3 linked regions of the Astyanax mexicanus genome follow. The protein of the gene in region 3 interacts with the protein of the main gene of each other region in a pairwise test. Links are inferred from orthologs where the notes say so. Each region holds a gene or a part of one and is shown on either strand. Other genes may lie near its edges.

Region 1 (7,456 bases), on a different chromosome or scaffold from region 3:
GATCTTGGTTCAATTGCAACTTTTTGGTATAAAAAAACAAAGCAAACCAGAACTAAAATGTAACCATGTTTTTTTCTAGCTTGTTCTGGATTAAGGCAACTACAAGAATAAATTCACTATAAACACACTAAGAACACAATCAAAACATCAATTAATACCACATTTATTCCAGAGAGAAATCAGAATAATCAGCTACAGCACAAACAAAATTTACCTCTGTCATCAGACGCTTTAGGCCCTCCACCTCATCTTCTCCAGGATTTAATTCTCCACCAGGACTGAAAACAGACAGAAATAACAATAAAGATAGAATATGTCTCTTTAAATTAAATTTTAATTAAAAAAGCTTTTAAATACTATATGAGAAAACTGTTGATCAGGTAGATGATTATAATATAGTCACAAGGTTTGATTTACGGGGTCCTCCCACCTTTAGAGCAATCAGGCCAAATGTACTGTATTTTTCGGGCTATAAGGCGCACTTAAAATACTTATTTTTTCCCAAAAATCGTCATTGCGCCTTATAATGCAGTGCGCCTTGTGTATGGATTTTGCTTGTGTTTACTGACCTCGATTTTTATGTGGTACACGGCGCTCTGTTGTGCAGAATTCCTCACCCACGCCAGAAAAAGATCCCCCTCTTGGGCTAGCGCGCGGTTACCTTTGACTGCCGTACTGCCTCTCGGCTGTGGTTCAGGGTAGCTAGTTTCCACTGTAGCTCCGTGGCCAGAACAAGGTGCCGGTAAACTTTCCTTTCCACCCGTTCTGGGGTAATAGCACAAACTGTTTCTTTTTAGCGCTCACTTCTAAGTAAAGTTAACCTCTTAACACGCGCTGGCCCACCGGCGGGCCAGAAATATTTAATATTTCATAACTGGCTGTGTTTCTGAATAGTTATGAACAGTTACAGGTTCAATATAGACATCCAATATACCATTTTAAAGCTTAGAATCTCTGCTTTTGAGCTATTTAGCCTATTTAGCGGAATATCCTTTCAGAAAATAAACATTTAGGGCGAAATATGCCTTGGTTATGATTTTAATAATTCATAACTCTCATATTTGCGTTTATCGTTCGTCCATATTTCATCGAATGCGGTCATGTCATACACCATTCGAACCGTCTGGCTCTCCGGATTCCAGAACTGTGCTTTTACTGTAGGATGTATGTTTCATGAATTAGAGCTGCGTCAGAGCGCATGTTTCCAGTAATAAAAGGCTCTCCTTTTGTCCTGGGGTAACCTCCGGTCACTGCCGCCACCCCCCGAACACACACCCGCGCTCAGCCACAGGTCCTACCTTCAAAACGCGTCCAGACTAAAGAGAATCCATCAATCCAGTCTCCTGTAATCCACAGTTATATCCAAACAGCGCTGGAAATCACTTCATCCAGAAATGAAACTTATCCAATCTTTATCTCTGTTTTAAAACCGTTTTATTCACCGAATTCGGCACAACACGCTATTATAGTCAGAAGCCTCGCGGAGTAATGCGGTACTTGCTGTGCTTCAACATAATATTATGGTCTGTCGGAGCGTTGCGGCTACCGTTGTCAGGAGCCTCGCGGAGTAATACGTACTTGCTGTGCTTCAACATAATATTATGGTCTGTCGGAGCGTTGCGGCTACCGTTGTCAGAAGCCTCGCGGAGTAATGCGGTACTTGCTGTGCTTCAACATAATATTATGGTCTGTCGGAGCGTTGCGGCTACCGTTGTCAGGAGCCTCGCGGAGTAATACGTACTTGCTGTGCTTCAACATAATATTATGGTCTGTCGGAGCGTTGCGGCTACCGTTGTCAGAAGCCTCGCGGAGTAATGCGGTACTTGCTGTGCTTCAACATAATATTATGGTCTGTCGGAGCGTTGCGGCTACCGTTGTCAGGAGCCTCGCGGAGTAATACGTACTTGCTGTGCTTCAACATAATATTATGGTCTGTCGGAGCGTTGCGGCTACCGTTGTCAGAAGCCTCGCGGAGTAATGCGGTACTTGCTGTGCTTCAACATAATATTATGGTCTGTCGGAGCGTTGCGGCTACCGTTGTCAGGAGCGTCGCGGAGTAATACGTACTTGCTGTGCTTCAACATAATATTATGGTCTGTCGGAGCGTTGCGGCTACCGTTGTCAGGAGCCTCGCGGAGTAATACGTACTTGCTGTGCTTCAACATAATATTATGGTCTGTCGGAGCGTTGCGGCTACCGTTGTCAGGAGTGTCGCGGAGTAATACGTACTTGCTGTGCTTCAACATAATATTATGGTCTGTCGGAGCGTTGCGGCTACCGTTGTCAGGAGCGTCGCGGAGTAATACGTACTTGCTGTGCTTGTTGATTTATTGCTCAGAGATGTTGTTATTTTTCACAGATATTGTGAAGGATTTATTGCTCAGAGTTATTGTTACTGATATAAATAAAGTTTCATTTAGTGCGCCTTATAATCCAGTGCGCCTTGTGTATGGACTAACACTAAAAATAGACCGTTCACTCATCGTGCGCCTTATAATACGGTGCGCCTTATAGTCCGAAAAATACGGTATATGCTGTAATTTTTATAAAAAATTATATAATAAAAAGCAGTCCAATTTCTGATAGAACATGTAATTGTTAGGCAGACTTGTGCAGTTTGGGCCACCTAGGTACCAAGCATTATGTTTGTACCACCTTTGGTGCCTAGACCCCTTATGATGATCATAGAGCTGCTTATCATCACAAAATAGCTTTAAGTTCCACTTTAGAAATGTGATATTATGCTGCTGCAGTTCTATAAATTGGGGCTTTATGTAGATGAGCATTTTAGTCTTTTATTCTGGATATAAACTAGCTTTACTAAGACTGAATAGGAACAGTTAGTTAAAATAGTTACAGTTTGAAGAAGGTGGTTCCCAGCTGCAGCAGTAAGACATGGGGCAGTCTGTGCTCGTGCACTATCAGGACCCCCTCCACCGTCCGCCGCATTCCAATCTTCTCAAACTCCTCCCGCATCCGCTGGAAGCGGGCGGCCACTGAACTGTCCTTCTCATATAGTGGCTCCTTCGTGCCGAACGTGTAGTTCGTCAAAGGATAGCTGCAGAAAACAGAGACAACTGTGTGAAAAAAACTTACATTAGTACAGTACTAAATGCTAAGGGTAGGCGACTGGCCCAAATATAATATAATAATATTTCAGGGGGTTTCTTTGATAATGATAATCTTGGTGGTTTGGCAAAAAAAAAAATATATATATATTTTAATTAATTTCTTTAAGATATACTGCAACTTAATCATTGATAACGTTTATCTAGTTAATATAATCTAACCAGTTTAAAAAATATGTACAACATTTGTCTATTTTTAAACTACAGTAACTTACTAAGACTGATTTTGTAGAAAATAATAAAATGTGAATAAAAAAAATATCTTAACTATATCACTTAACATTTTAAACTTCCCAGCAAATAACAGCCTGCTTTTAAGACAGAACACTGCTGTTAATGGTAGACCAGTATATTGAAATTATATCGGCCGTTATAGCAGCCAATATGGCCAATATGACACAATAGACAGACATTCCTACACTTATATCTGATAATCATGATATTGCATATTGTGTTTATTTGTATGTCAATATTTTAAATGACAATATTTAGGAGGGAATTTGGAAGAAATGTTCATAGTTTATAAAATAAAACAACAATGTTGATTTTACTCAAACATACACCTATAAATAGCAAAATCAGAGAAGCTGATTAAGAAACTATAGTGGTTTCTTAACTTTTTGCAGAGCTGTAATTTAGTTGTACTGTGTAAGACACAGCCCAGCCCTACAGATCACACAACAACAGCTAACCAAGTAGCCTCTGTTGCTAGCTAGCTAGCTATCTTCTATGCTAACGCGAGCTAGGTTAGCTTAGCTACTGTTAGAGCAGCTTTTACAACTACACAACCAGAAAACACACTGATTAATAACCTCCACACCCCGCTGTTCCCGCACTGATCTACAGACTGAGCTGCGTTGTATAATATAACTGTGTGTATAAATGAAGGTGCTCACAGGTTGATGGTTCTCTCCAGGGTGAGCGGTTTCGCCGGGGGACTGATGTATTTGTTTCCGAACTGATTCACTCCGCGCGGCCAACCGGTGGACGAGCGATTCGGAGGAACAACGGACATAATTCCGTGCAAAACTGCGCACGTATAAAACCCGCTCAACCGCTTTAACTATTAAAAAAGAAAAAATCAAACCCAGCTCAGAACCAGGCCGCCCGCCGCACTCACTAACCAGCCCTGCAAACACCACAGCAACACCGCCCGCCCTCCGACCCGCCGAAGATAGAATAAAAGTCCATCAGCGCAAAATAAAAGACCCTTAAAATCTACAACTCTGGAAAAATTAAGAGACCACTTCAGTTCCTGAATCAGTTTGTCTCATTTTGCTATTTATAGGTATATGTTTCAGTAAAATTAACATTGTTGATTTATTCTATAAACTACAGACAACATTTCTTTCAAATCCCAAATATAAATGTTGTTTAGAGCATGTATTTGCAGAAAATGAAAAATGGCTGAAATAACAAAAAAGATGCAGAGCTTTCAGACTTTAAATGATGCAAAGAAAACAAGTTCATATTCATAAAGTTTTAGAAATCAACATTTAGTGGAATAACCCTGGTTTTTTGATTACAGTTTCATGCATCTTGGCATATTCTCCTTTACCAGTCTTTCACACTGCTTTCGGATAACTTTATGCCAATCCTGGTGCAAAAATTCAAGCAGTTCAGCTTGGTCTGACTTGTGATCATCCATCTTCCTCTTAATTATATTCCAGTGTTTTTTAATTTGGTAAAATCAAACAGACTCATAATTTTTAATGGGTCTCTTATTTTTTTCCATATACGGGTCATAAAAAATTCATGGAGCTTAACCCTTTCAGATCTGAACTATGTTGCAGTGATAGAAAAATATAAGAATACTGTTTTCTCTCTGTAATGCACACAAAACAAGACTATACAATTTAAATTAAATTAACTAACAAATAACTCTTTAATTTATTTTTACAGTACAATAAACATAATGAAAAAGTGTTTTAACTCACATAAAATTGGTCAAAATCAGCCCTTACATTAACTCGTTGGCTTTAGTGCTGCCATGACTTAATGTCTGCGTTGGTGTTTTTTACCCAGTACAGTGGGTGGGGCTAATATTTTAATTAGCTGATTCATGGTCTTTTCAAAGACAACATGTCTGAATTGATGGTACGTCCAACAAAACATATATATAATATAATATATGATGTCCATTGTAATGGACACAGGGTCTGAATAGGTTAAAAAAAGGTTAAAGTATTAAATCAGAATTTTGTAATAATAAAGGTGGAATATTTAATGTTGTAATTCACAAAATATGATAAAACATCCACCAGATGGATTTGAATCATTTTAATGGAATTTATGCGTCTGATTTTTAAATCTGGAAATATTTTGTTATTTTAAAATGTTTTTTTTTTCCATCAGTTCAAAACACAAGCAGGTTAAAATTCTATTTATGAATTACACTATTAAATATTTTAGGCTCATTAAATTGTTAGTAAATTGTATTTAAATATAACAAAACAGATATAAATACTTTTTTTAAGCTACACAACAATTTCAACAACAACAATTAAGACTGCATAGTAATAATATTAATAATAATAATAATAATAATAAGAAGAAGAAGAAGAAGAAGAAGAAGAAGAAGAAGAAAAGGAAGAAACAGAAGTATTTGTATAGTCATTATTTTATTTACTACAACTATTACAGCTACCCTAAGCAGTTTTTTTCTAAATAAAATATATAACACATTTAATTACTATTTAATTACAAATAAAACTGTAGAATAGATTGTATAAATAATAGACCATTTGTCCTCGTAAACCGAGTAAATCCCAAATAATAAAACACTGGTGAATATGCGATTTTTATATGGTGATTTTTGCAAAGATATTTCTTCTTAAGAACTAAATATGGCCTAATGTGCTAAAGTAATAAGAATCATAATTATGGGCCACACAGAGTTCTGCAAATAATCTCTCCATTTATTTTTTCTGTGAAATTTCCAAGGCAAGCCCTACAATTGGTCAGGACTTTAAGAGTAGCACTTAATGCCTCTGCCCAGTAGTCTGAAATGTATAACAATGACAGAAGTTCTTATATCAGGGCTCTTGTTTAAAAGAGTTACAGGACAACTGGTACATTTGGGGACATGAAATGTTTGTTACAAGCTTCAGATCAAACAGAAAATATATCTGACATGCTTTAAACCTGTTACAGTGTTCAAAGCAATCTAGTGGCTTAAGCTAATTATATGCTTGAGGACTTGCACACTTCTGTTAAAAGGCATAAAACTGACACTGTCTCTTTGCCCGGTTACTATTTGTAAGAGCGAAACTAGACTTCTTTTGAAATCATTTCCCATCATGCTCCTGGTGAACATTTACAAGAAAAGAAACTGTTGAACAAATAGAAGCAACCTTTGCCCACAGCTGTCCTTAGAAAAAAACGCACTACAGACACCACAGAATGAGGACATGACCATTTCATAAACGAGGACAGCTGCTTTCAGTTTTGGGCTGGAGAGAGCTATTCACTGTGTTTACTGTAACAAATATTATAGTATTAAAATAGGATAATATTAAACATGTCAGTTCAACATCAATCTTTGAAGAGAAAGAGAATCAGAGAAGAGAAAGATGTGAAGACGTGGATGGGGACAAAGTTGTCCTCCACCTCCATTGATGGCTCACGGTTGGTTCTGTTGTCAATCATGTAATTGCACTGTATAGAGAAAATGTCATAATAGCAATCTCACTTTTTTACTTTTTTAGGATAAGGTAATGCCTAAAAGTGTATGTACATTATATAATTATGTTTATTTATATAGTTAATTATTATTTATTATCATGTTATTGTGGATGTCAGCAGATGAAACAGTCAATACTTTCTCTGAACAATGACTAAGATACCTATTTCAGTTTTTTAAGAACCTTTTTTCTGTCTGTCTCCCTCTCTCTCCTATCGCTCTCATAGCTGATGTGTGTGGTTGAAGAGGAGTGGTTTTGACAGCAAGTTAAGGAAGTAATAAGTGAAGTCTGGTCAGCATCTGCTTTATCAGCACTAAGTCTTTTTTCTTGAAAAGCAGCCACTTTCTTTTGAGAGGAACAAGTCTGGTTTTGTTCGTCTACAACCAGGTCACACTTTTTTTGGTTTATTCGGTTTGACATGGATCATCTGAACTATACCTTCAATTCTACCTGCGACCCTGTTCTTGTCGCCACCAACAGGACTTTGGGCGCCCAACAGGTAGGCCCCAGTGTGCTTCTAGCTGTTTGCTGTTTGGTGGGTTTGCCAAGCAACATTGCCGTGATCGTCACCATCACACGTCAGTGGAGCTCAAAAATCAGCTTCACTGTTAAACTAATGCTTAGCCTGGCTGTATCTGACTCCAT
Region 2 (7,456 bases), on a different chromosome or scaffold from region 3:
CAGGCATATTTATAGTATTTAATCCGTGACTGATTAGCCACGCCTTATTTAAATGTTCACTTTCCTAGGACAAACTCTAGAACTCTAGAACACTAGAAAAATCGAAAAAACACTATTTTAAAAAAGTTTACTGCAATTCTAATTGTATGAGTCCCTCCAAATCCTACTGGGAGTTTACAATGAATACTTGTGAAATAACGCTCACCTGAGCAGCCATACCTCAATACCAAACACGTTGTGTTTGTGACGAGTCCACACACACACATTTCTGTTGTGATAATGACTGTTTTTACTCTGAACTCATCATCACGTCTCATCTGTCCCCAGTATCTGAACCATTACAACAATATGCATTAGCCACCTCAGGAATTACAGTGTACAGAAAGGCAGCAAAAAGACCAAGGTAGTGTTCAGATAGCACTGATGACTTCTGTATGAAATATGTTTGTCTTCTCACTTGGAAATAGCCTTCGCCCTGCACCTATTTTTGATGCAGCTGAGGAATTGTCTACAAACTTTTTTAGGCTTATACCACATTTTGTTCATGCAGCGGCAGGATACATATATTTATTTCACCTTTAATTATTACAAATTAAATTGTACCAGTGTAGCATGTTGTGTTGTTAATAAAATGCGTTTTCTCATTTTGGTGTCTTGTCATTATTATTTATGGGGATCATCTGGATTTCTGCAAAAAACAGACGGAATCCAAGTTGTAAGTAAGTGAACAAACAAATTTCATGTCATATTTGCACATCTATTGAATTAATGGTTTGATCTATCAAGGCTACACCTTGGTAATACCACTTAGCCCTACATTAGGATTTTGCGAGTGCACACCTAGAATGAGGGTGTCCCGATTTTAGTTAGGTTGGAGGGGTAGGTTAGGGGATGTTTTAGGCTACATGACCCTTCAAACTGAAAATTTTCAGAGTACTACACTCCAAACCGAGGGCTATGAGAATCACTGGCAAGTTGGTATGGCACAAGCGACAAAGAAACTCACTAATTTGAGCATTTCCCTTGATTACAATATTACTGCTAAGATTACCACAAGAAAATTACGATAACCCCTATATTTCCATAGTTTAATGTGTAGTTTCAATGTTTTGAGGCCTTTTTCTTCATAACATGCATTAAAAATTCACCATGAGTTTGTCTCAGTAGCCACTAGTAGACGTAGTATCTTAAAATAATGTAATATCTTAAACTTAATGTCAGTATCTTACAGTTTTTCTCAATTGGTTTGGCTCATTTCTTGAAACTGAGATGACATTTTTAAAATAACATGGACAAATCCCCAAACTAACTTGCAGTTCCTCACAACAGAATGGCATTTCTCATTGCTTTCATCACATTTCAAATGCTTTGTACATGTCTCAAGCACTTAGTACATCTTTACAAATGGTTATGTACAAGTAGCCTACACTTAACACAATACTCCTACATTTAGTACATTTTCCAAAATAATGCATCTTGTTGGTCTATCCCAATTGGTTGGTTCTCAGTGTAATGGTTGTTCTCTCCAAAACATGCCAGCACAATTTCATCGTATAAGTCATCATCTGCAGAATAGTCTGCTCAATTATCAAAATGAGTTACGAAATTGTAATACAATACAGAACACATATTTTGGAACATTTCATAAATTCATGACAATCAGGTGAGTAGGTAACAGGTGAAAGCAGGTTATGACGAGGAGGAGTGTCCCACATTACAGGTGACCAATCCATCAGTTTGTTACCTGACAGGTGTTGTCTATGATTTTGAATGCTGGCATTGCTGTATATATACAGCTTGGCCTGGTGCTAGTTCTTTGATGCTAGTCCTGTGATGATATAAGGATCCTGTGGCGATCAGTGTAGAGGATGGCTCAGGCATTCACGGCGCTTCTTCCCACAGTGCATTGCTAAAGAACACATCAGAGGCGATGTTGATGAGAATTTATGGCCAAACAGACTGCAGCGGATGGATGGCCAGGAAGATGACCAGGAGAGAGAGGGGAGTGACACGGAGTAGTCAGAATGTTACTGTATTGCATTTGTTTGACTGTTTTTTTACATACTGTATTTTTGTTTTGTTTTTGCAGGTTTTTGTATTTTGTATACATAGTATATTTGATACATTTTCCTTTGTATTTTTTTTTCTTTCCTACCTACAGTCATGTGTAAAGATGTACTTGTAAATAGAAATAGTTACAATTTCCTCAGTAGAATGAGTGCAGTGTGTGTGGTGTGAACATTGTATTCCTTTAGCTAGACCTCTGCCATAAAGACAAAACATCTAAGCATTTTGACTTGCAGTACTTACACAATACCAAAGGGACAATGCATTTTGGGGGCACTGATGGTTTGTGTGAGAAAGGAAATTAGTTTTGACACATGGGTAAACTGTTTTTGGAGTGATATGAGCATGTGATGAGGATCCATGTAGTTGTGCTGCACCGTCCGGTATATTTTGACAGGAGGATGAAATGAATGAAAATGTGCCAAAGCAATTGAGAAGGATCTATGCCATTTTTATGGTACTGACTTTTTATATGGGAGAGGGACTTCATTTTGAAGCAAGAATGAACGTTTTGGGAGACATATGACATTTTGCTGGTTATCTGAAGTGTTGCGCAGAATTGTAAGTCTGTTTGGCCAATTTACCTTATAGTTATAGGAATGTCATCTCAGTTTCAAGAAATGAGCCAAACCAATTGAGAAAAACTGTAAAATGATGTAGTATCTCGAATATAGTTACTTAGTATCTTAAAATAGCGACTTAGAATCTCAAAATAACACAGTATTTCAAAATAATGATATAGTGACTTGAAATAACGACTTAATATCTCTAAATGACAACTAAGTGTCTCACAATAATGACATAGTATCTTAAAATAATGACATCGTTTTTAAAAATATTCACCTAGTATCCTAAAGTAACAACTTAGTATCTAAAATGAAAGACCTGGGATCTTAAAACAATGATAAAGGATCTTAATAAAATTGACCTAGTATCTACACTACTAGGTCGTTATTTCAAAATAACGACCTAGTATCTTAAAATAACGACTTATTTCTAATAATAATATCATAGCATTTTAAAATAATGATTTAGAAACTCAAAACAACGACTTAATATCTCTAAATGTCTCGGCATCTTAAATAATAAAGTTTAATGTTGTTTAAATGTTGATTTTTTTATTTTTTATTTTTTAACCTTAAAATGCGCAATGCAATCAAAATAGTCATAATTATAACGTTTAATCAATGTTCTTTGCTGTCAGGGATAGTGTCTGAAAGTAATGAGGTAAGTTAGCATCAATTGAGATTTAACAAATTACTTACATTTATTTAATAAAAAAATATTATTTTATGTTTTATTTTATAGTATGTTTAATGTTAAGTGGCGGGAATGTGCTTTTACAGGCCTGTGTTGGTGGAGGTGGGATATAACAGTATTGCAGTGAACTGTATTATGAGAGGCTCCCGCAGACGCGCTACTTAGGCTCGATTTTGCGATTCTGCAATGGCGGCTACGCGCGTTTCCCGGCGAGGCCCCGGCCACAAAGCCTCACGCTGCGCTGTTGGCGTAGCGGTTTCAGTAATGGCGTCTGTGGCTGAGATGCGCTTGGCGTTGGGAAAATGAAGCGCAGGAGAACTTATTTCTGTTATTAAGAACGCGGGGTTTCCTTCGGCGAACTTTGCGTGGGAAAGCTGTGGAATCTCCTGGAGGTCCGAGCTGCGATATTAGTCCCTGTCGTACCGAGATGATGAAGCTCAAGTCCAACCAGACCCGCACGTACGACGGAGACGGCTATAAGAAAAGGGCCGCCTGCCTGTGCTTCAGGAGCGAGTCCGAGGAGGAGGTGAGGCCGGGGATGCGGAGCGGAGTTCGGGGAGCGAGTAGGCCGCAATTGAGACTAGAAAATATAAAATGTGCTTTAATTAATGTGAGATTAATAAATCCAGGCCGCGGTTTAGTTGTAGATAAACGAGGCGAATTACAGAAGAAGGAGAGTCGGGTGCAGAGATTGAGAACAGCTACCTGTGTATAGCTAATAGACTAAAGCTAACGATAGCTAGCTAGGCTAGTTAGCTTATCTTAGCTTATTTTAGCTTAGCTGGTGCGGTTTGTCAATGAAGCGCTGCTGAGCCGAGCCAAGCTGAGCCGCCGTCTGTTCGGTTACCCGGGCGGGTAGCGCGGGCTGGGGAACCGCTAAAAAACTTTAACCCTGTTTATACATTTAAAGAGGCTCCGTATATATTTTTAAGACAGACTTCGTGCAGGAGATCTGAAAATATAACTACATAGCTAGCCAGTTTTGCTGACACCAGTTGTGTGCGGCGGTTGCGCAAAAACAAAAAGCAGCGCTAGTTGAGTAGCTAGCGGTTAGCTAACTACCTAGCTGGCTAGCTCGTTGGCCACCAATCTGTATGAGCTAGGTTAGCTAACATAGGCTAGTTAGCTATCTGGCGGTATACATGTATACACAGCTCTGGGGGAAATGAAAAAGAAACCACCTGAAAATTATGAATTTCTTTGATTTTACCAAATTTAAAACCTCTGCAATATAACCAAGAGGAAGTTAGAGAATTTTTTGCACCAGGAGTAGAGGCATAAAGTTATCCAAAAGCAGTGTGTAAGACTAGTGGAGGAGAACATGCCAAGATGCATAAAAACTGTGATTAAAAAACAGGGTTATTCCACCAAATATTGATTTCTGATCTCTGAAAACTTTATAAATATGAACTTGTTTTCTTTGCGTTATTGGAGGTCTGAAAGCTCTGCATCTTTTTTGTTATTTCAGCCATTTCTAATTTTCTGCAAATAATTTCTCTAAATGGCAATATTTTTATTTGGAATTTGGGAGAAATGTTGAGAAAAGTTATAGAATAAGACAACAATGTTCATTTTACTGAAACGTGTATATATATATATAAAAAGCAAAATCAGAAAATTTGATTCAGAAGACTTGATACAGAACTCACTTTGTTAGTTATGTATAGGTAGTGAGGTAGTTTAATGGATAGTTGGCTGTATGTTACTGAGAGTATAGAGCTTAATCTCAAGGTTAGCTTGCATATTGCCTATCTGTCTGTCTAAAACTCTAGCTGGCCTTTTAGTGAACTGTTTAGCTAGCTAGAATAATACCAGCAATACTTTATTCTTTTATGAAACTGCACTTTTTTTAAAATCTCAGTTTCAAACACTATAAAAAAAAGATAGCCTACACCATTTACAGAGGGGCATCAACCCAACAGTAGGCTAATTATGACATAAAATCAAAATATGTAGAAGATGGAAACATTCAACAGACAGATAGAACAGATATATCAGCTCAACAGTAGTATTACTTAGAACAGATACAACATCTACAGAGGGGCATTAACCATAGAAAATAGAAACATTAGACAGACAGATAGAACATATTTACAGAGGGTCATCAATCCATCAGTAGTATTACATAGAAGATAGAAACATTCAACACACAGAAATAATGTGTGTATCTACAGAGGCGCATCAACCCATCAGTAGTGTTACGTAGAAAATAGAAACATTTAACACAAAGACAGAACAGATACAATGTATACGAAGGAGACACAGCCCAACAGTAGTATAAAAATAGAAGATAGAAAAAATTAACACACAGACAGAACAGATAATCTTTAACATCTACAGAGGGTCATCAACCCAACAGTAGTATTACGTGTATTTTTAGATATTAGCAAGTTAAGCCATAGGCAGAAATTATCTGAGTCTTGAGATTAGATTTAAATATGGAAGGAGAGAGGGATTATGTAAGTCACATGCTTTATAGCTATGTCTATTATATGTAGCTATATAGTTATTCTAAACCAGTGAAGCTATAAGACGTGTTGTATCAGATGTGCTGCTTTGTGTTGATTCAGGTGCTGCTGGTGAGCAGCAGTCGACATCCAGACAAGTGGATCGTACCAGGAGGGGGAATGGAGCCAGAAGAAGAGCCCAATGTTGCTGCTGTCCGAGAAGTTTGTGAAGAGGTCAGACCAGTTAATCTATATGACTTGATGCCGTTATTGCACTCATTATTAATTCACTATAAATAACAAATCATCTCTGAACTTTGAACATTGCATAATGACACAGGTTTGTTTATGTAGTGTTTGTTACAAAAGACCTACTCATAGAGCAGCTTCACAGAGATCCATGTTCGAGCCCCAGGTCAAAAGGATAATAGCAGCAGCAAAAAAAAAAAAAAAAAAACTCAGATCAGGAGATCTGAAGGAATAGTTCTCGAGGGGAACCAAGAGATCATTTTCTCGTCCAAAAAACAGCCAGATGCATACATCTAATATCTAACATTTTTAACTACTAAATCTATACACTAGAAGTTAGAATTTTCTTCAGGGGAGCTGAAGATTGGATCTGTGATTTGTGTTAATCTGAGTGAGTAAAACAGATTTACAGTAGTGATTAGTTGTGTTATGGCTGGCCCACACTACAGGATATTCAAGCTGATTTCAAGGCTGATTTGGTCTTTCAGGTTGATCGTCAACTATCGTAATCTTTCCAGATTATCCTGTAGTGTGTGGAGTAGGCTCAGACAGAAGATCTGTTTAGCTTGGTTGTAATGTTTTACTGTGTAAAATATATAAGGTCATACGCATGTCTTACAGTTTGATGTGAATGGGAATTAAAATACATTCATTATGCGTTTAACTCAATAATCACCCTCTCTATGTCAGTCAAAACCCTGCGCTTCGAGCTCTGTGCTACCGAATAGTGCAACTCGTTGTTATATTCCTGTAGCTCAGGCTAACCCTGATCTTCAGCTCATAGATTCTTGTGATGGGCAGTGATACGCATCACTCATGTGGAGAGGGAGATCACGTTACAGTGGAGTGTTAAAGGGCGTTAAACTCAGATTAAGCACTGCTCATTACTCTACACCCTGGCTGTGCTCCAGTTAGGCAGATATCCAGCAGCAACACCAGGCTAAGCCTCTTTAGGCCTCTCAAAATGTAGACTTTTGCTCTTTCAATGCTCAGTACGTTAACGTAATGTGCTGAAATTAAGTTGGTTGGTCCTGCATCTTATCAGTCTTATCGGTGTTTACACCAATGTTCCATTGACCTGTTCATTTGTCCAAACTACCCATGATTGCCCTTTGGTTAATCACAATAGCTTTCTAATTATAAATCGTGGTGGAAAATGGGAAGTGAGTGAGAGGCTATGCGGAAAATACTGTATGTAATGTTAGTGTTCATTGTGGTAAGCGTCTGAGATAGATTGTCACATTTGATGACATTTAACTTTGACAGTCTGGTCCATACAGTTCTATGTTTTATTTAGCTTTTGTTTGGTTTCGGTTTGTCTTATAATGAGAAAATTAGTAATTCTTAACCTATTTAGATTTTATAAGTATTGAACTTTGGTTGAGTTCATACCTCCTGTGTTTGGTCCGGACATTGGGACTTTTCAGTTTGGG
Region 3 (7,456 bases):
ATGTTTCTTAACTCCCTTTTTTATAATAATGAAGCAATTTAGGTGAAACCCATTTATTTTATTAACTGTTTAACTGTGTTATTTCAACTCTGTTACTCTTGCAGGCTCTATCCTGTTGATAAGACCAGAGTGAACGAGTATGGCGTGTCTTATGACGAGGACCTAAAAGGAAAAGCCCACAAGGATTAAACTCCTTACAGCTCAGAGTTTTCTAAGTCAGCCTGCTAAACATCAACACCAGAGAGGACGGAGAGGACGGAGAGGACAGTACACAGTGCATTATGGTCTGCGCATACTGGGAACACTGGGTGATCTGCAGACTGGACTGGGGATTTTCATCTGTGGAGTGATCGACTGTGACCAACATCTGTCTCTTCCACCTTTTACACTCTTACATTTCCTGTCCTGAGTCTGACAAACTGATTTCATTGTCCTTAATTGGAGATGAAACATTGCATTGTTTTATTTTTCAGTACTGTATGAGCTGCTGGGCTGACAGGTTGCTAATACGATTGGGTTCAGTTTGATGTAGGTTGGAATTTTGCTGATTGTTAATCACGGTTGTGCGTCTGAGGCACAAGTGAGTGAGTTATCAATGATTTGATCAATGATCTGTTGTTCCTCATCAGAAAATCATGAGGAAAATAAGCTCATTTGAAGACAGAAGTATTTTCGACAGGTACTCTTTGATTATATCTTTATGAAAATAGTGTTTTTGGAAATATGACTTTTATCATACTGGTGCCAAATGAACTGATGTTGTAATTTCTCATAGTTAGTCATATTAAAGAGGGGGAGACCGAAAGTTAAAATAATGGTTAAACTGAGAAAGATGGACTGAAAGAGGAAAAAGCACAGGTCTGACGAGTCTGTTGATGTGTATTTGGGGTGAGAATGGCTTGTTGTGTGTGAGTTTGTTGTACTATATTCCACTGAAGTGTTTAACGGGACTCAAATGGTGATTTGTTTGTGAAGTCCAAGCTTCGATTCACGCGATAAATATTTTTATTTTCTGCTTAAAACTGCAACTTTTAGTGCTTTTTGAAGTTTTCCAGAAATTGTAAGTCACTAACTGGGTCCACAATACTAAAAAATGTAATAAATGGTGGTGACCAAAGGGACTGTGATTTGGACTGTGTACCATTCTTAATGTGAAAATTATTTCCAACAATTCTGGTACTTAGATTTCTGCTGTTGTGAGAATCAGAGCTCATTTCTGGACCAGAGGGAGGGGAAGATATTATAATATTATGCTTTATGTTTATGTTTTTGATTCCTTTACTAATGTGGCCTATTGGGACCATCTGCTGAACACCTTCTGCTGTATGGCCTGTGTTTGGAGCCGTGCTTTTTCAGCTACTTTAAAAAAAATACCCACAAATAAATAAAAGCCTCCAAAACTCCTGTACAGTGTTTCTGGTCTTTTGTTTCATTTTTCAAATTATATTTAGTGTATTACTAGTTAGTAACAACTAACTCATGCATAGAGTTGATGATTTTCACTAATAATAATTACAGGATTAACAGCATGCATTTTTCTATTGGATAATATATAGGATAACATATAGTATATAGCATTTGTCCTGCTTGAAGCTCCAAACTAGTCATATATTATTTTCATTAGCTTACACCTGTTCAGGGGTATGTGTAAATATTTAGTAGGTACTAGCTCCTATGTATATACAAGTTTATTTGGTGCAACCTATTTTAAAAGTATGGAAGCTCATTCCGGCCACCTAAAATAAAAAATACATATGTTTTATTCTTATTATCAAGTAAACTGCTACCTCTTTATTCTGACATAATTTTTGTCTCACCTGCTTCTTTCTTTGTACAGTCTACTAGTATCTTAAAATAATAAAACAGTATCTCAAAATAACGACTTAGTTTAGAGTTTCTCAAAATAATGAGATAGTATCTTAAAATAATTACTTAATATCTCAAAATAATGGTATCTAAGAATAATGATTTGGTATCTTAAAATACTCATTTACTGTCTCAAAATAATTAAATAGTATCTCCAAATAATGATTTATTATCTTAAAAAATGATTTACTATCGCAAACTAATGACTTACTATCTCAAAATAATGACTTAATATCTCAAAATAATGATAGTATCTCAACATAATAAAATAGTATCTCAAAATAATGACTTACTATCTCAAAATAATGACTTACTATCTCAAAATAATGAAATAGTATCTCAAAATACCGATGTACTATCTTAGAATAATGACTTACTATCTCAAAGTAATGACTAAATATCTCAAAGTAATTACTTAATATCTCAAATTAATTATAGTATCTCGAAGTAATGAAATAGTATCTCAAAATAACGACTTACTTTTTCAAAATAAAGACTTACTATCTTATAATAATGACTTACTACATCAAAATAATGAAATAGTATCTAAAAACAATTACTATCTCAAAATAAGGATTTACTACCTCAATAATGACTTACTATCTCAAAATAATGAGATAGTATCTCAAAATAACTACTATCTCAAAATAATGAAATAGTATCTCAAAATAATGATTTACTACCTCAATATAATGGCTTACTATCTCAAAATAATGAGTTAGTATCTCAAAATAATGAAATAGTATCTAAACTAAACGGGCTGAGGGAACTGCGGGCTTATTTTAATGACAAGAGCGATGGCCAATAGGAAGTAGTCCCGCCCCCTGAAGTGACGCAGTAGCGGATATAAGCGTAAGCCCCGCCCCTGCGCTCTCCCTTTCCGCTCCGTGTGTGAGGACGATTGAACGTGCCTAAGGTGCTCGGTTCTTCTAACGAAGCTAAGGCCCTAGAATCCGGCGACTAGCACCGCTAATATTAGGCATCCAGGTCCAAAACTGTAACCTACTGAAAGAACAATGGCCTCTGTCTCCGAGCTCGCCTGTATTTACTCCGCTCTCATCCTCCACGACGATGATGTGACCGTTACGGTAGGTCCTGTCCCCCCGCTGCGGCCCCGGCCGCCGCCATTACTACCATTACCACAGTACACACTGCTACACTACTGACTGGCGGGAGCGGGAAAGAGATTTTTAGATTTACTGTGTAATTAGTTAATCTATAACATATTAAAGCTCTTTACTGTTAAACTCCACAGCTCAGGTTAACTCTCATACTCTGATAATAATAACAGGGGTAATATAGGGTCTGTTTACTGAGCCACACTGTAGCCGGTGTTCTGTCAAGTTGTGCTACTCGTCAAACTGTGCTTCTCTTGTGACTTATATATTTAGCTTTACAAACGCTCAAAAAGCACAAAAATCGAGCATATTCTCAGTGGAAGTCTATATAGTATTTTTTTTGGAGAGCATAAATCAATTGGTCTTCAACGTTATGACAGTGAGTGGTCATTTAAAACTAGTGTTTAAAAAAAAAAGTTGTTTATTATTTTTAATAATTTTAATTTGCAGTTTTGTGCAGCGAGGGCGAGTAACGTTAACTTACATGTTGAATAACAAACACACAAAAAATAAAAAATAAACAAGAGAATTTTAACTGTAGGTCAACGCATGCGCAGTGCTTTTAGGAAGCACGTTTTCGGTGAGTGTTACAACTTGACGGAACACCTGGTGGTACTAGCTAAGTGCAAACTGGCTAATAAAACTAAAATTCCACATTAAAAAAAAAATACAACCTGGTAGCTCTCTCTTGAAATCAGGGGTGATTCCACTTTTTTGCTGTTCTCGTTTTTCTTGAAATATCGAAGACTTATCTGTCTGTCATTTTATATATGTAGTGCATTAGTATCATGACATGTTTGTTCATTCACAATTTTTATTACAATCTGGTGAAAATCTCAACTAGTGGAGTGCCATATAAGATTTTTTTTTTTAGTAATGTTGCCAAATATGGTTTAATATTTATTTTTGTTGCAGTAGTGTATTTTTAAGTTCCTTACAGCGTACTGTCAGTTTAATTCATGTTTCTAAGTGACACACAAGTAACATACTGAACATCCTAAAGTGCCTGAGAGCATCACTACAGGACAGTGTGTAAACGATTCTGTTCACACATCTCAATCCTATTTATACAGAATGTAGGCTTGCTTTAGGATTAGTACTGGAGATGAAACTAAATTGGCTCTTTTAAGAGTGTTTTCTGCTTTTACAGATCTTTTAATCTATTTAAAGGCTTTACTGCATATAACTATTTCTGGCCTGATTTATATTGTTTTTGCATTGTTTACGTTACATCAGGATTTTAATCTTCATTTATTTATTTCAATTTATGATGTAGCCTCATGTGGATTTAACACACTAAATGTTATTTTTTTTTAGGAGGACAAGCTGAACGCCCTGATCAAGGCTGCTGGAGTGACCATTGAGCCTTTCTGGCCCGGTCTGTTCGCCAAGGTAAGAGTCCTTTACCAGCTTAATATAAAAAAGCATGCTTTTAGTGTAACTGTTGAAGATCACATCTGAAAGGGATGGATGTTAAGTTAAAGTGTAAGTAAACCCCCAATTTTAGCTGACTCCAGTCTGCTCAAATAAAAAAAATGGAGGGGTTATTTTGTTTGGGAGGGGCATTGGGTGATGTATGGGTTTAGGGGCTGATTGGGCTGAACAGTGTGTCTCAGACAGCTGTTAGACGTAAGCAGAGGGGCGGTATTATTGATTGATTGATTAATCTGCATATTTCCTCGCTTCAGAGGTGGAGCCTAGATGTGTTTGGTCTTTGAATTTGATGTAGCAAACCTACAAAAGATGCTCATAATAAAGACATGGTGGTAATTCTTGTAAAGCTACAGGAAGGCTTCATTAAGATTTAGATGTGTAAATCTGGTATTACAGGTAAAAATGGCTTTAAACAGATGCTGTTGTAGCTTTTCTGTCAGTACATTAAAATTGGCAATCTAATATTATACAAGCAAATGTCAATGTTAAATGCAGGATTTACATTTAAAATGTTTGTTACTGCATTAAGAACATTAAATAAGGCCTTGAATAAGTTTAACTGTTAAATTATTGCTTATAGTCAAATATCTTGTCAACATTTACTAACATTTCATTTGTGTATGTAGGGTTTTTTTTGTAGGTTGATGGTTTGTTCAAAAAATTCTATCAAAAATAGACCTTAGATAAATTTATATATTTACTTGAACTACATTTTAAACATTTTGAGCATCTCTATATATTCAGTATTCAGCTCTGGTAAAAAGAAATTACCACTTAGAAATAAGTTTTTGATTTTACCAAATTAAAAACCTCTGGAATATAATCAAGAGGAAGATGGATGATCACAAACCATCAAACCACCAAACTGAACTGCTTGAATTTTTGCACCAGGAGTAAAGCAGCATAAAGTTATCCTAAAGCAGTGTGTAAGACTGGTGGAGGAGAACATGATGCCAAGATGCATTAAAATAAAAACTGTGATTAAAAAACAACCAGGGTTATTCCACCAAATATTGATTTCTGAACTCTTAAAACTTGCATTATTATCTTTATTTGAGCCTTTTCTCATTTTCTGCAAATAAAATCTTTAAATGATTGAATTTTTATTTGGAATTTGGGAGAAATGTTGTCTGTAGTTTATAGAATAAAACAACAATGTTCATTTTACTCAAACATAAACCTATAAATAGCTAAATCAGATTGTCTTTCCAGAGCTGTATATTAAAGCACAGAAATGTAAAAATCAACAATAAAAGTGGTGGATAAAGTACTGTACACTTATCCCCCTCACCCACCTCTTAGTCTTTAGTTTAATGTAATACTATAAGAATACGTGGGGTGTTCTGGTGCACTAAAGTTAGAACAGTGCTCAGTCCTAAAGCTCTTGTGTCGAGTTTTATATTAGTGATTAATGGATGGTTTATAAGTGCTTATAGACGCTCAGGTCAGTGACGTGGTTTTTCTGTGTTCAGGCTCTGGGCAGCGTGGACATCGGCAGCCTGATCTGCAGCGTGGGGGCTGGTGGTGGAGCCCCTGCTCCCGCTGGTGCTGGTGGAGCTGCTCCTGCTGCTGGAGGAGAAGCACCAGGTAACACACTTTACATTTAAAGAGCTATTAATTAATGCACACAACGGGTGACGCACAAACGACTTATCTTTACAGTTATCACTTTAATATACAAGTAATATATGGGATTGTTAGTCCAGTTAATACTTTAATAGAATATTAAAGTATTAACTGGAATAAAGCTCACTTTAACCCTTTCAGATCTTGCAACCAGTACAATGGACATCACTGTTTTAAAAATGTTTTGTTGCGCACAATAAAAATTGAATAGGACATGAACGGGCCAATGGGAAAGTCAATTAAAGGCAATTAAACAGTAGCTTAGCCCCGCCTACTGCACAGGAGAGAAACAAATACAATTGGGATATTATGGCATAGCAGCAATAGGAGGATTTTATTTTTACTAATTGTATGTGATTTTAGAATGTTTTAATTTTTTTTGGTTTTTTTTTGTTTAGTAAAAAGGTATGTCAATATAAAAAAATAAAAATGTTAAACACAGGCCTCCAGTGCATTAATTAAAACTGATTTAGTTAAAAAAAAAAAAAACAGCATTATTATATTTTTCTATATAGTATATTAAGTGTCTTGTTTTTTTTTTTTATTATTGTGCATTAGGCAGAAAACAGTTTGATTTTTCTATATTAAAATATTAAGCTTTTTTTGTTTGTTTGTTAGAAAAATATAATAATGCTGTTTTAGGTCCATCACTGGATCATAATTCAGGTCTGAAAAGTTTTTTTTTTAATGACCAGAAACTAAAAGCTTAGACTTTTTACTTTCATAATAAGTGAAAATCACCTGACTGCAGATTTGTGACCTGATTATGAATTTAATATTCACATTAATGCTTTGTGTTACAGCCAAGGAGGAGAAGAAGGAGGAGAAGAAGGAGGAGTCTGAGGAGTCTGATGACGACATGGGCTTCGGTCTCTTCGACTAAATCAGTTTTTCTAATAAAAAGAAAAGAAACTGAATTTTTTGTCGTTTCTTTTTAACTTTTGTAATTCAGAGTAGAATTGAAGGGTCTCAGTTATGAACATCTTTATCTGTGAGGAGTTTAGAGGTGAAGTTGTGGAAAATTCGTGTGGTCAGGAAGTGAAAAATTGCACAGGGATGGGGAATGCAAAGTTAGGTTTTAATGTTATGTATTTGAGTTTAGCAGTGTGATTTCAGCCCGTTGTACTAGTTTAAAAATATATATATTTTTTATCCAGCAAATGATCTGTTGAGTTGTGCTACCCTAGTGTGTGTTTTATTGTAAATATGCCAGAACAGAAGCACATTTAAAATAATTTTGGTAGGATAATTGGAAAGCCTAGATCAATATCAGAATACAGTTAAAGGGAACAGGTGTGATTTTATATCTCACATTCTTTGAATTTTTCATTGCTCAGTGATGGAGAAGGGTTTTTGAAGGGTAGCACAACTTGACATAACACCAGTGTTTGGTTTAGTGTGGCATAGCCTCA

The links.
Region 1: the proteins of rplp1 (region 3) and nudt21 interact in a two-hybrid assay, tested with the Homo sapiens proteins (2 studies listed by BioGRID and IntAct). The link is inferred for Astyanax mexicanus from reciprocal best matches to the Homo sapiens genes RPLP1 and NUDT21.
Region 2: the proteins of rplp1 (region 3) and nudt3b interact in a two-hybrid assay, tested with the Homo sapiens proteins (2 studies listed by BioGRID and IntAct). The link is inferred for Astyanax mexicanus from reciprocal best matches to the Homo sapiens genes RPLP1 and NUDT3.

The regions. Positions count from the first base shown.
Region 1 is NC_064416.1:26,199,828-26,207,283, reverse strand, and holds the start of nudt21 (cleavage and polyadenylation specificity factor subunit 5), read right to left. Parts: upstream 4,300-7,456; 5' UTR 4,144-4,299; coding exon 4,025-4,143; intron 3,059-4,024; coding exon 2,858-3,058; intron 279-2,857; coding exon 215-278; intron 1-214. Other genes in the region: leukotriene B4 receptor 1-like, read left to right, coding at 7,230-7,456. UniProt on the Homo sapiens protein: Component of the cleavage factor Im (CFIm) complex that functions as an activator of the pre-mRNA 3'-end cleavage and polyadenylation processing required for the maturation of pre-mRNA into functional mRNAs.
Region 2 is NC_064412.1:5,168,247-5,175,702, forward strand, and holds the start of nudt3b (diphosphoinositol polyphosphate phosphohydrolase 1), read left to right. Parts: upstream 1-3,550; 5' UTR 3,551-3,754; coding exon 3,755-3,853; intron 3,854-5,897; coding exon 5,898-6,008; intron 6,009-7,456. UniProt on the Homo sapiens protein: Cleaves a beta-phosphate from the diphosphate groups in PP-InsP5 (diphosphoinositol pentakisphosphate) and [PP]2-InsP4 (bisdiphosphoinositol tetrakisphosphate), suggesting that it may play a role in signal transduction.
Region 3 is NC_064410.1:2,543,310-2,550,765, reverse strand, and holds the start of rplp1 (60S acidic ribosomal protein P1), read left to right. Parts: upstream 1-2,727; 5' UTR 2,728-2,882; coding exon 2,883-2,954; intron 2,955-4,301; coding exon 4,302-4,376; intron 4,377-5,890; coding exon 5,891-6,005; intron 6,006-6,847; coding exon of another isoform or gene 6,848-6,927; exon of another isoform or gene 6,928-6,961; intron 6,962-7,456. Other genes in the region: clptm1l (cleft lip and palate transmembrane protein 1-like protein), read left to right, coding at 105-189. UniProt on the Homo sapiens protein: Plays an important role in the elongation step of protein synthesis.